Sus scrofa: one gene and its partners. The protein of the gene in region 1 interacts with the protein of each later gene in a pairwise test. Links are inferred from orthologs where the notes say so. Each region holds a gene or a part of one and is shown on either strand. Other genes may lie near its edges. The genes, in order: RIC8A, EFEMP1 and SH3GLB1.

What was found.
Region 2: the proteins of RIC8A (region 1) and EFEMP1 interact in binary tests that used the Homo sapiens proteins (3 or more experiments, as listed by UniProt). The link is inferred for Sus scrofa from reciprocal best matches to the Homo sapiens genes RIC8A and EFEMP1.
Region 3: the proteins of RIC8A (region 1) and SH3GLB1 interact in binary tests that used the Homo sapiens proteins (3 or more experiments, as listed by UniProt). The link is inferred for Sus scrofa from reciprocal best matches to the Homo sapiens genes RIC8A and SH3GLB1.

What each region holds. Positions count from the first base shown.
Region 1 is NC_010444.4:30,766-34,510, reverse strand, and holds the start of RIC8A (synembryn-A), read right to left. Parts: upstream 2,341-3,745; 5' UTR 2,218-2,340; coding exon 2,134-2,217; intron 1,859-2,133; coding exon 1,811-1,858; intron 1,725-1,810; coding exon 1,134-1,724; intron 656-1,133; coding exon 564-655; intron 92-563; coding exon 1-91.
Region 2 is NC_010445.4:85,406,493-85,410,237, reverse strand, and holds the start of EFEMP1 (EGF-containing fibulin-like extracellular matrix protein 1 precursor), read right to left. Parts: upstream 2,562-3,745; 5' UTR 2,443-2,561; intron 1,205-2,442; 5' UTR 1,198-1,204; coding exon 1,117-1,197; intron 1-1,116. UniProt on the Homo sapiens protein: Binds EGFR, the EGF receptor, inducing EGFR autophosphorylation and the activation of downstream signaling pathways. May play a role in cell adhesion and migration. May function as a negative regulator of chondrocyte differentiation.
Region 3 is NC_010446.5:129,392,604-129,396,267, forward strand, and holds the start of SH3GLB1 (endophilin-B1), read right to left. Parts: upstream 2,869-3,664; coding exon 2,797-2,868; intron 1-2,796. UniProt on the Homo sapiens protein: May be required for normal outer mitochondrial membrane dynamics. Required for coatomer-mediated retrograde transport in certain cells. May recruit other proteins to membranes with high curvature. May promote membrane fusion.

The DNA of each region.
Region 1 (3,745 bases):
CAGGAACTCCAGGGAGCCTTCGTGTGGCTCCAGGGTGAGAAGGACATCCAGACACTTGAGGGGCAAGTTCCCCAGGAGGTTCACTGTGTGGCTGGGGACACATGGAAAGGAGGGCTGGGTAAACCCAGGCCCCCAGCACAGGCGCAACTCTTGTTGCCCCCTGCTGGGATCACACATGACCCGAACCAGTATCAGGGGCCTGAGTAGCACCAAGTACCAGAGCAGAGGGAGGCCCTCCTTGCAGACATCCCACCTCCCACACACCTGGGTCGAAACAACAGGTAGTCCAAATTGGGACCCGCCCAGGCATAGGTCACAGAAAATGAAAGTGACAACCACACTGCTCTATGGATACCACAGTGTTCAAGGTCCAGTGGCACATTCTGTCCTGAGCTCACAATTCTTGTCCTAGCTGTGTGTTCTAAGTGCTGCAGCTCTGTGGAAACACACCAATGCCTGGTCCCACCCAGTTGGATGAAAACTCTCTCTTTAGGGCTGGAAACCACCATATAGACCTGAGAGCAGACGCCCGCCCCGGTGTGCCCAACAGGCACCACCCTCACCCGTGGAACTCCTCTGTGCGGTCTCCAGCAGCAGTGACCATCACACAGTGCCGCAGCAGGGTCCCCAGGTGCCGGTAAAGTGCAGTGTCTTCCTGACCAAAGAGAAAGGGGTGCCTGTGAGAGAAAGTGCCACTCACCCCCACTGCTGCCTGCTGAACATCTACTGCCTGGCCCACGGCCAGACCTCATGCAGGCCATGCATCTCCTCCACCACACCTGGCTGCTCAGCCTCACTTATGTGACCTTAAGAGCACTCTCGTGGTTAGGGACATCAACAGGTCCCTTTGGGATGAAGTCACTCTGTGCTCTCGCCCCCCGCCCCCCGAAGAATCTCCTACAGCCTGCCCCCACACCACACAGCACTCCTGGTGTTGCAAGAGCCAGATACGCGCTCTGATTCCTCGATGCCCTTATACGGAACGGGCACCTCCCTGCCTCCTCCTGACAAGCGCTGCTGTGCAGATGTCCTCCTGGTCCGACACCCAGAAACTTGAGGGTACCTGGCAGAGAGGCAGGTCCCGGAAGCATCCTAGTTGTTAAGCCCAACCGAAGGCTGAGGCCAGCCCTCACCTCATCCACCTCCCTCTTGATGGAGTCGAAGGTGATGTTGAAAAGCACTTTGAGGATCTCCATGGCCCGTTCGGTCTCCTGGGAAGGAAGGAGTTCCGGGGGTCCCTCTCCAGGGGTCATTCCCAGCGTCAGCTCCAGTGCCTCGGTCAGCAGGTGCACTCCCTGCAGCTCCTCAAACAGCTGCCTGCGCACATCAGTGCGAAGCGCCGTTAGCAAGAAGAGGAGGCGCAAGTCAAAGAACTGGACGTCATGCGGGAAGCTGCTCTGGCGGTACAGTCTCACTCGCTCTGCGAGCCTCACCACTAGCCCCGCCTCTGCGGCGAGCACCTGTGCCACGGAGCTGCTCAGCACGAGGTTGCACAGGCACTTAAGGGACTCGAGCACAACATCCATGTCCAGAGTCTCAGGACACGACCCCTTCGAAGCAGAGATGCCAGCATAGCAGGCAAGCGCTTGCAGGCTCTGGCGGCTGGTGAACGAGTCCAGGCAGCTGCGGTCCCTCGACAGGATGCGGATGCTCTGCAGCCAGATGACTCGGCGGGAAGGTGACAAGCCCTGCTCCAGGACTGAGACCAGCAGCTCCGCCAGTCTCTGTGGGCAGGGGAATAGAGCGGTTCCATCAGGCTCCTCTACCTGGGCCACCCGTCCCTGCCCCTTTACCCTTGATAAGCACCCACCTTCCTGTCCTCCTGTTGGGCATCGTCAAACGTGAAGCTCTGGGAGTTCTGCAAACAGACCCAGAAGATTAGGAGGCACAGGTCCACCGAAGCAGAATCCGAGCTCCAAGGCCGCAGACACCGCTCTCAATAGACAGGGCTCCCTTTCCCCACGGCACCCCCAGCAACTCTTCAAAGACTCGGTGCCCCTCCCCGCCGTGCTCGCCAACACCCTCAGCCTTCCGCCACGCTCACCACTCACACCCTCCCCGCCGGCCACGCGCGCGGGACCCACCCAGCCCCACCTCCTCCCTGCGCGTCCCACGTCCATAGCTCCCGCTCACCTCCCGGTTGTAGGCGCGCAGAGCCTCCATAACCACGTCCTCCTCCCCCGTCTCTATAGCATCCACTACCGCCCGAGGCTCCATGGCGCTCCCGGGACCCCGGCCCGAGGAAGCGGAAGGTACCTCGCTCCAAGGCTCTGGGCCCCAGACGGCCCGCCCGGCCCTAGCTCGGCGCGCGGGGGAGGCCGGGAAGGGGCGTGCGCGGCGCCGCGCGGGCGGGGGCCCGGGCTGCGCGCGGCGCCGCGCGGGGCGGGGGCCCGGGCTGCGCGCGGCGCCGCGCGGGGCGGGGGCCCGGGCTGCGCGCGGCGCCGCGCGGGGCGGGGGCCCGGGCTGCGCGCGGCGCCGCGCGGGGCGGGGGCCCGGGCTGCGCGCGGCGCCGCGCGGGGCGGGGGCCCGGGCTGCGCGCGCCTTAAAGTGGAGAGGCCTAGAAGAGCCCTCGGGAATTTAAAGGCTTTGATGTCTAGTCACGTTGCCTTTCAGTGTCCGACTCAGTGGTTATCCGACCACGGGCCTGAATCGCTCCGGCTCCGAGCAGTGAATTCCCTACGGGAGAGGGCCTTAGCTTCTCACCCCGCTATTACACGCACACTACACCCCTCTTGATGTACAGAACGAATGAGATGTTCCGAGGAAAGACGAAGTGGAAAGGACTTTGCAGCCCCGGGACCACTTTGTTTATTAAGCAGGCGTTTGAGGGCCTACAGCATGCAAGGAACCAGGATGTGGGTGAACAGAACCCACAGGTCCTTGCCTTCGTGGAGCTTATATTGCAGAGGTGAAAACAAAAACGGGAAAACGGGAAGACTTTAAGCAGTCATAGTGCTGTGATTGAAAAAGGGGCCTGATGGGCTCCAAGGGGATTTGAATAAGTGTCGCTTTTGCTGAGACCAGAGGAAGAAGTGAGCCAGGAAGGGATGTGGGGGAAGTTCATTCAAGGCCGAAGGAGCCGGCAGAGTAAAGGTGGGAATGGCCGTTGTAGGAGAAAGAGATCATTGTTGGGGCTGAGAGACAGGGGAGAGTGGGGAGGGAAGGTCCAGGTCAGGATGAAGGCAAAGCCTGATCATGTGCAGGGACTTCCTGGCTGTGTAAGCAGACACATCTTCTGGCCTGGACCCAGTTCCCTCTTTTGAAAAGCAGAGATGATAAAAGGTCCCATTTCGGTGGGTTGTCAGCACTAAACGACACAGAGTGAATGCTCCATTACAGTGGGTGAATAACATATACTCCACCCACTGCGCAACAAGCCTTTGTTGAGCATCTATTTTGTGCCAGACCCCTTGTCAGTGCCCGGGTGCAAGGTCGCAGCACCGGCTCCTCCTGCCCCTAACTCCCCTCACGCTCCCACTCTTCTTCCTGATTTCCCGTTTTCCTTCAAGTGCTTCATCCCTGAGATTTTTGCAGCGCTCGCTTGTTCCAGGCACTGATCCCCTCTTTATCCCGCCGGCAGCATCTGGAGCGTGCTTCACACCGAGTCCTCGCCTTAACCGCACCGCAGCCGGGCGGGCCTCGGACCCCGGGCCGTGTCGCCGCGAGGAGCCTCTCTCGCCTGAGAAAGGGCCGTGAGCTCTTTCCAGTTAGGATTTGACACCGCCTTCGGCAGGAATGGCCGCGG
Region 2 (3,745 bases), on another chromosome or scaffold:
ATTTATCTTCAGCAGAGGAAGCAACTACATTTACCATTAAGTTGACAAAATATTTATACTAAACTCCATTTGATTTATAGTTGATCTGAACAACAAAGAACATTTGCCAGATGAATATTAACATTCTAGGGGTTATATGGTACCAAAAAAGTGAGATAATGTTTATTATCAGTAATTGACATTAGCTCACTTTTAAGAGTTTTATTTTCAAAAATTGTTCACATTCTTTTGAGTAAGATTACTTAATTTTAAATTGGGAGCAAGTAGAAAAATATGTTTCTCATATTCTGATCCAGGACAAATGCCATTTGCCTCACAACACTGATTAAGGACTAGAAAACACAAAACAGAGGTGCAAACAAACTCACAGAAGTGAGGTCAGCACTGCCCTCTGTTATCACCATATCCTCTCCTGGCAGTGGGAGGGGTCAGATGCTGTTTTCAACTTTATTAAACATTGGTTATATCTATTCAATTAACTAATGAATCAAAGGTTACTTGGAAATATTGGATATGCTAATTAGATTATTCAAAGCCAAATTTCACACAATGCATTTTAAACCCATTTTATCAAATACTGCATCCTGGTAACACATAAAGTCTCTTTGGACAGTTGTATATGTCTTATCAGTTATATCATAAATGAATAGCCTTTATAAAGTCAGGAAAACCCATTTACATGAGAACATAGTCACATGCACAAATGAGGAGCTGGGCTTTTGTGATGTTTAACATTCTTATTTGACTTGAGCCCTCCTCCTCATGTTTTGGTTTCATCTGCATATACATGGGATTCAAGCTTTTCCAATTACATTCATCACTTTGCTGAATGTGTAGAGAGCTTGTAGGTTACTTTGGCTTTTGTTTTAAAGGGGTTTACCTTTTTAGCCTTGCATAAATCCTTACATTTTGGTTCCTATCCCAAATGGCGATCTAAATGAACTTTTGGAGGGACCAGCAATTTACAACGAATTTTAAACATGAACTTTCCTAACGTTTGTTTAATTTATTACCCTCCACGGAGAAGAGCCCACATAGACTGGCAGGAATGGACAGTCTTCCTTGTGCCACAGAATTCGCTGAACCGCACTTATCTCAAATTCCATCACCCCTTACCGTGTATGTGATGGTTTCTTCGGTGTCCTGTGACTTGACCAACGCCAGAGTCAGCATAGTTAGGAAAAGGACTTTCAACATCGTGAATCTCAAAGAAAACACGGGACAAACCGATGCTTAGTATCTGCTGCCGGGGAAATATACTTTAGCTGTAAAGTAGCAAGCAAGGTAGAGAAGGCGGAGGAGGCGGAGGCTCCATCATACCCAACTTCCAAACTACTTTCTCATATCCCCTCCCCCACCTCAAGCTTTCCTTGGCCAAAGGCGGCACCAAAGACTGTGAAAGGGTTGCAGAATTACATTCACTTTACTCTGTCGGCTGCGGTGAATATATATAAAGGATGTACAGCATTTTATACTGTTCCTTTGATTCTGCACCTACAAAACAGGCTCCAGAAAGGGGGTGAGAGAGAAAGAATACATGGTAATTCATTTCAAAGGAGAAGGTGCATTTTTTTGCGAGGGCGAAGGTGGAGCAGCAAATCTCATATTCCTTTGAACGTTAAGTCTTTCCTTGTATGCTCACCTCAGCTAGTGAGGCTAGTGAAATTCCTAGCTCAGCTCAGCAGAGATACCTGTGAACCAATATGAATTACCTTGGCCTCAAACTTTTTTTTTTTAAACAAAAGACTGAAACAAATCTCGGGAGCAATCTCCTCCCTTAGTAGAATACCTGCCTTTCAGAGCTCGTTCTTACATTCCTCAGCTCTACTCTCTAAGTGGCATTTCCACGCGTTCTCTGTGCACAGCTTTGTTTAAGAGCCCTCAGTTTTGTAGAAGAGCAGCCCAAAGCGCCTCATTCCCTTGTACCTTATCAATCCCTCTGTCCCTAAAACGCTACCTTCAGGATTGGGTCTGCCTAGGGCCGGAACTGGGGGACCACACCGTGGCCCTAAGTACCAGTTCCAGGGTGGCCCCAGGGAGGCGAGGTCCCCTTCTTAACAGTATGTTAACTGGCGGCCATCCCTGGGGAGCTGCTCAGAGCTCCAGCTTCTAAGCAGCTCCGGTGGAATCCAGGTGCGGCTTAAACCTTACACATTGGCCCCCTAAAACTTTCAAAACCTGTTTATGGGCAAAGCCCTGTCGTCTGATTGTCTGCACGCACACACATGCCCATCCAAACAGATGTCACCCGGTATTCGCACATGTTGACACATCGCATTCCGAGACCGCACACCTCCACCTCCCTCTTTGCCTGAGAGATCCTGCACAACGGGGGAGCAGTTCTCAGGTCCACTGCACCCCTCAGGTCACCCCACTTACTCCTCGGCGCGCAGCCCGGCGGGCGCTTAGCGCGCCGGCGTGACCCCCATTAGGGGCTCCTACCTGCGCGGCCGTGCTGCGCTCCGGGCCCGGGCAGCGAGGGGAGAGAGCAGGGGAGGGCAGCCCCGTGGGTCTGAACTGGCGAGGTCTGGCAGCGGCCGCGGAGGCAGGAGGAGGAGAAAGGGAGGGAAAGGGGAGGAGGAGGAAGAGAAAGGGAGGAAAAGGGGAGGGAGAAGGAGAGAGTTGAGGGAGGCGCAAGGGCTGAGCTGAGCGCTGCAAACCCCGCTGAGAGCGTGCCGCGCAGCAGGGTCCGCGCCCCCTCGTCCGAGGGCCCTCCACCCGCCCGCGCTCACCTGCTGGCCCCTCACCCTTAGTTCTCAGACAAGCTAGAACTTCAGGCGGAAGGTGGCACGTTTGGCATGTGATGTCCGGGGTTTGAATCAGCCTTTGTGATCCTCTAGCCTCCTGGGCGATTTCTCGTGCCCTGTGAGGGTCCTGAGAAATCGCTCCCACCCCCCCACTAAGTGATCCTAAGAGTAAATTAACCCCATTCATAGAACTGATTCTTTCGGTTTTTCTTTAAGATACTTCTTTGGGTTTGGGGGGCGGGGAGTAGAGGAGGGTCTGCTTCTCAGAGGTAGAAAAAAGATCATTCATTCATTCAACAAATATTGTGACTTACTATGTGTCGGGTGTTGGGAATGGGTCAAGTAGAAGTCAGACTTAGAAAATTGTGAAGTTGGGTTGTTTTGGGTCTCTCAAATACCTCTTTTTTAGGAGCCTCTTTTCTCATCTACTACTTCTCTTCCCTCCACTGGTTCACTGTGGGAGCCCCAACACTGGTCATTGAAAGTTGGACATTTCACTCTCACCTTTCATTACTAATGGTGGAATTTCAGGAATCTGGAAAGAGGAAAAGAAAATATTTTTTCTGGCTTCTTCAAATCATACCACACAGATTGTGGTTATCTCTGAAAGCTCCAACTCTAAAGTCAAATTAATAGTTTGCCTCCAGGGCAGTTATGCCTTCTGAAGCAGATACACTTTCATGAATGACATAATATGCAAACCAAAGGTATCAACTCTGACCTCAATGGAGGCAGAGGGTGGGAAGGGCTCCTTGCCCTTCCCCACTGACCTTAGGGAGAAAGACCTTATAGTGTACAAGATGGAGGCTGTCAGGTGGAAGCTTCTCTCCTTTGGGGTATGCAGTGGGTTGCCCAGACCTTGCCAGTTTGGTTGCAGGCCACACAATATTGGACAAGATCAAAGGAGCTTCACAACCCTGAACCTTACTTAGTGGGTGGGGTTTTGCTAATATTGAAGAAATTTGGTACCCAAATTCAAATGCCAGTCATTAATAACC
Region 3 (3,664 bases), on another chromosome or scaffold:
TATTCTTAGCATGAAACTTGGCACTTTTTGGCACAACACTTAGGTCAACTCAATTTAGAGCAGGAACTCTGTTACTGACTAAATAATGAAATGGGAATGCAGTATTTTGTTGAAAATTACCACATAGCATTCCAGATTTCACGTTCCATTTTGCAACCACCTCTTTTTCCTTACATATTTTATTTAAAAAACCATGGAAAATGTCACACATAATGTATAGTAGTATAATAAAACCTCATGAACCCATAACCAAGCGTCAGCAAGTATCAACCTTTTGCCAATACTGTTTCAATTATCCACATTTTTTCTTCTGAAATATTTTAAAGCAATTCTCAGACATGACATAGTTTGTACATAAATATTTCGCAATATATATTACAGACTTAATACAAAAAGACACATTAAAGGAGCCTGATCCTCCTGAAATTTTTCCCTTCTTAGTAAATGGCTCAAGCCACAACCTCAGAGTCATCCTTGACTCATCTTTCTCTCATAACCCAGAGCCAATATGACACTCAACACTGGACAGATTCTGAACCTCCTCTTATTTAAGTCACATCACCTTTTGCCTGACCTAGGGCCACAACTCCCTAACTGGTCTCTCTAGCACCCCTGCAACCTCAGATCCTGCATTTGTTACCTCTGCCTGAAATGCTTTTCCTCAAAGGAAACAAACAAACAAACAAAAAAACAAAAAAAGGGGAGAAGTGTCACTTCGTTGAGGTCTTTCTGAATTTGATCCTAACAGAAAAAACTGCCCTTTCCAATATGTTCATGTAACAGCAGCAACCACCACCCCTGTCCTAAACTAATCTTTTTTGGCTTTTTTCTCTAATGTACTTAGTTTGTCTTTTCCCGCTCGACTGTAAACTCCAGGAGGGCAGAAATTTTGGCGATTTTATTTATTGCTGTATCACTACTGGCCAAAACAGCAGTAACATGCGGATGTGGAGCAGACAGTGAAGTATTTAAGACTGAAAATTATTTGATAACTAACAGAAGATAGAATTTTCAAACTTTTTCCTAGAGAATTTGAAACAGTGAATAACTGAAATTAACGTGGGAAGCACATCTTGAGAGCTGTGCCAGATTTTTTACATGAAGTTGATCAACCACTTCAATCAAACCATAATACGTATGTCCTACTTAAGCAGTGGGGATTATGTACCCGAAAACATCCAGCTTTATTTCAAAGTGGCATTACCTAGTGTCAAATCTGCATTCAGCACCAGAATCACTGAGAATTTGCACTAAAATAAACAGCTAGTGTCTTGCTCTAATTCTTCCATTCTTCTACAAGTCAAGCATCGTGCAGCGTCAACTATGCCAAAAAAAGTGGGCTAAAGGCAACTAGGAAAGCAGTAAAGTTTCACAATGACTTACATTTCAGTACCAGCCGGGTATGTTACATTAGAAAACTATTTTTGTTTTCTGTTTACAAAAGAGAATGCTGTTGCTACTGTGACTGTGCCATTAACTTAAAACGCCAGATTGTTTACACCCCGTACTGTGAAATTCACACCTGCTCACAGATTTCCCCGCGGTGGCACAGTGTGGGTGGCGCCTGCAGAAAACTGTCCCGAGTTCCCAGGACTGACACTTCCTTAATTTCTGAATACGCGAGGTACTCAACTTTCCCCCTAAAGTGTTTTCGAAAAATGTCCCTGTGACTGGAGGCGCGACAAGAACCCCACCCCCTCTCTCGCTGCCCCACTGCCTGTGCTCCCCACTTTGAAAACCAGTGGGACCCCAGCCCGCGGCCTTGGCTGAGTCCGGACGCGGGCAGCCGGGCGCAGGACTGCGGGGCGCTGTGCTGGCAGCTGTCCCGACAGAGGGTTAGGAAAGCAAACTTCCTTCTCGGACCCGGCGAGGAGCGAGCCCGGAGGACAGGGCGGGGGTGCTGCAAGGACGGCCGTCTCCCGGCCCCTCGCGGACGCGCAAGGGCTCCGCCCGCCCGGGAGGGAGCGCACCCAGGCCCCGGCCTCGGCGTCGGAGAGGCAGGAGGAGAGGTGCCGCAGCCCGGGGCCGAGCTCGAGGTGTGCTCCGGCCCGTCCCCGCTCCTCCCGAGGAAGGGGGGCTCCGGCCCGTCCCCGCTCCTCCCGAGGAAGGGGGGCTCCGGCCCGTCCCCGCTCCTCCCGAGGAAGGGGGGCTCCGGCCCGTCCCCGCTCCTCCCGAGGAAGGGGGGCTCCGGCCCGTCCCCGCTCCTCCCGAGGAAGCGGGGCTCCGGCCCGTCCCCGCTCCTCCCGAGGAAGGGGGGCTCCGGCCCGGCCCCGCTCCTCCCGAGGAAGGGGGCTCCGGCCCGGCCCCGCTCCTCCCGAGGAAGGGGGGCTCCGGCCCGTCCCCGCTCCTCCCGAGGAAGGGGGGCTCCGGCCCGTCCCCGCTCCTCCCGAGGAAGCGGGGCTCCGGCCCGTCCCCGCTCCTCCCGAGGAAGGGGGGCTCCGGCCCGGCCCCGCTCCTCCCGAGGAAGGGGGGCTCCGGCCCGTCCCCGCTCCTCCCGAGGAAGCGGGGCTCCGGCCCGGCCCCGCTCCTCCCGAGGAAGGGGGGCTCCGGCCCGGCCCCGCTCCTCCCGAGGAAGGGAGGCTCCGGCCCGGCCCCGCTCCGCGGCGCCTGCCCGAGCGGCGGTTGGGCAGGAGGGCAGGAAAACGGCCGCCGGGCGCAGAGGGTACCAGGCCGCGCCCTCAGGGGCCGCGGCCGCAGCAGGCCCGCGGGCGGTCGGAAGCCGGCACCACGGGCGCGGCCGCCTCGGCGACCCCTCCCCGCCCCCCGGGCGCCGCCGCCCTCCCCCCCGCGCGGTACCTGCACTGCGCGGCTGAGGAAGGTGCCCGCGTCGGCCGCCAGCTTCTTCACGTTGAAGTCCATGATGTTCATCCTGGGGGCAGCCGGGCGCGGCGGCCGGCGGACCTACCGGGAGGCGGCGGCGCGGCGGCCGGGCTGGGGCGCGGGGTGCGCGCGGCGGGGGCGGACGTGGTCGGAGGGAGGCGGCGCCGGCCCCGCCGCAGCTGTCGTTTCCGTGGGGGGAGGGCGGGGCGGCGGCGAGAACCGGCGCCTCGGAGCCGGCCGCGCGCCCGAGCGGCGGCGGCCGGGACGCAGGGCCTGTCCCTTCAGGGGGAGCTGCCGCGAACGCCGGCGGGGCCGCGGTGGGCTTCCAGGAGAGCGGCCGGCGTCCGCGCCGCGAGGGGCCGGGTCCCCAACGGAGGAAGCGAGCGCGGGCCGCGGGGCGGGGCCTTTACGGGGGTTATCGCGGGAACAGCGACCCCTTCAGGGCCGCGGTCGCGGGGCCGCGGGGCGGGGCCTTTACAGGGGTTATCGCGGGAACAGCGACCCCTTCAGGTCTGCGGCCGCCGAGGTTATCGCGGGAACAGCGTCCCCTTCAGGACCGCGGCCGCCGAGCCGCGGGGCGCGCCGGGAGCTGGGCGCGTTCCCCTCAGGGAGGGTGGCGTTCGCGGCGAGAAGCGCGCCGCGGGGCCGCTGCGCCGCTGCACGTTTGCAGTTTGGTCTGAGCCTCCAGAACAGAGAGAACCCCAACCCCCCGTTTTGTTTTAGGAGAAAATGGGGACGTTGTAGCGTAGAATTACAGCACCTGTGAAATGAGTCTTGTAGGTCCCGCGCCCCGCTGGTGCCTGACGCCCGGATGGCGCTCGTGGACGTTTGCAGAACAGACTTG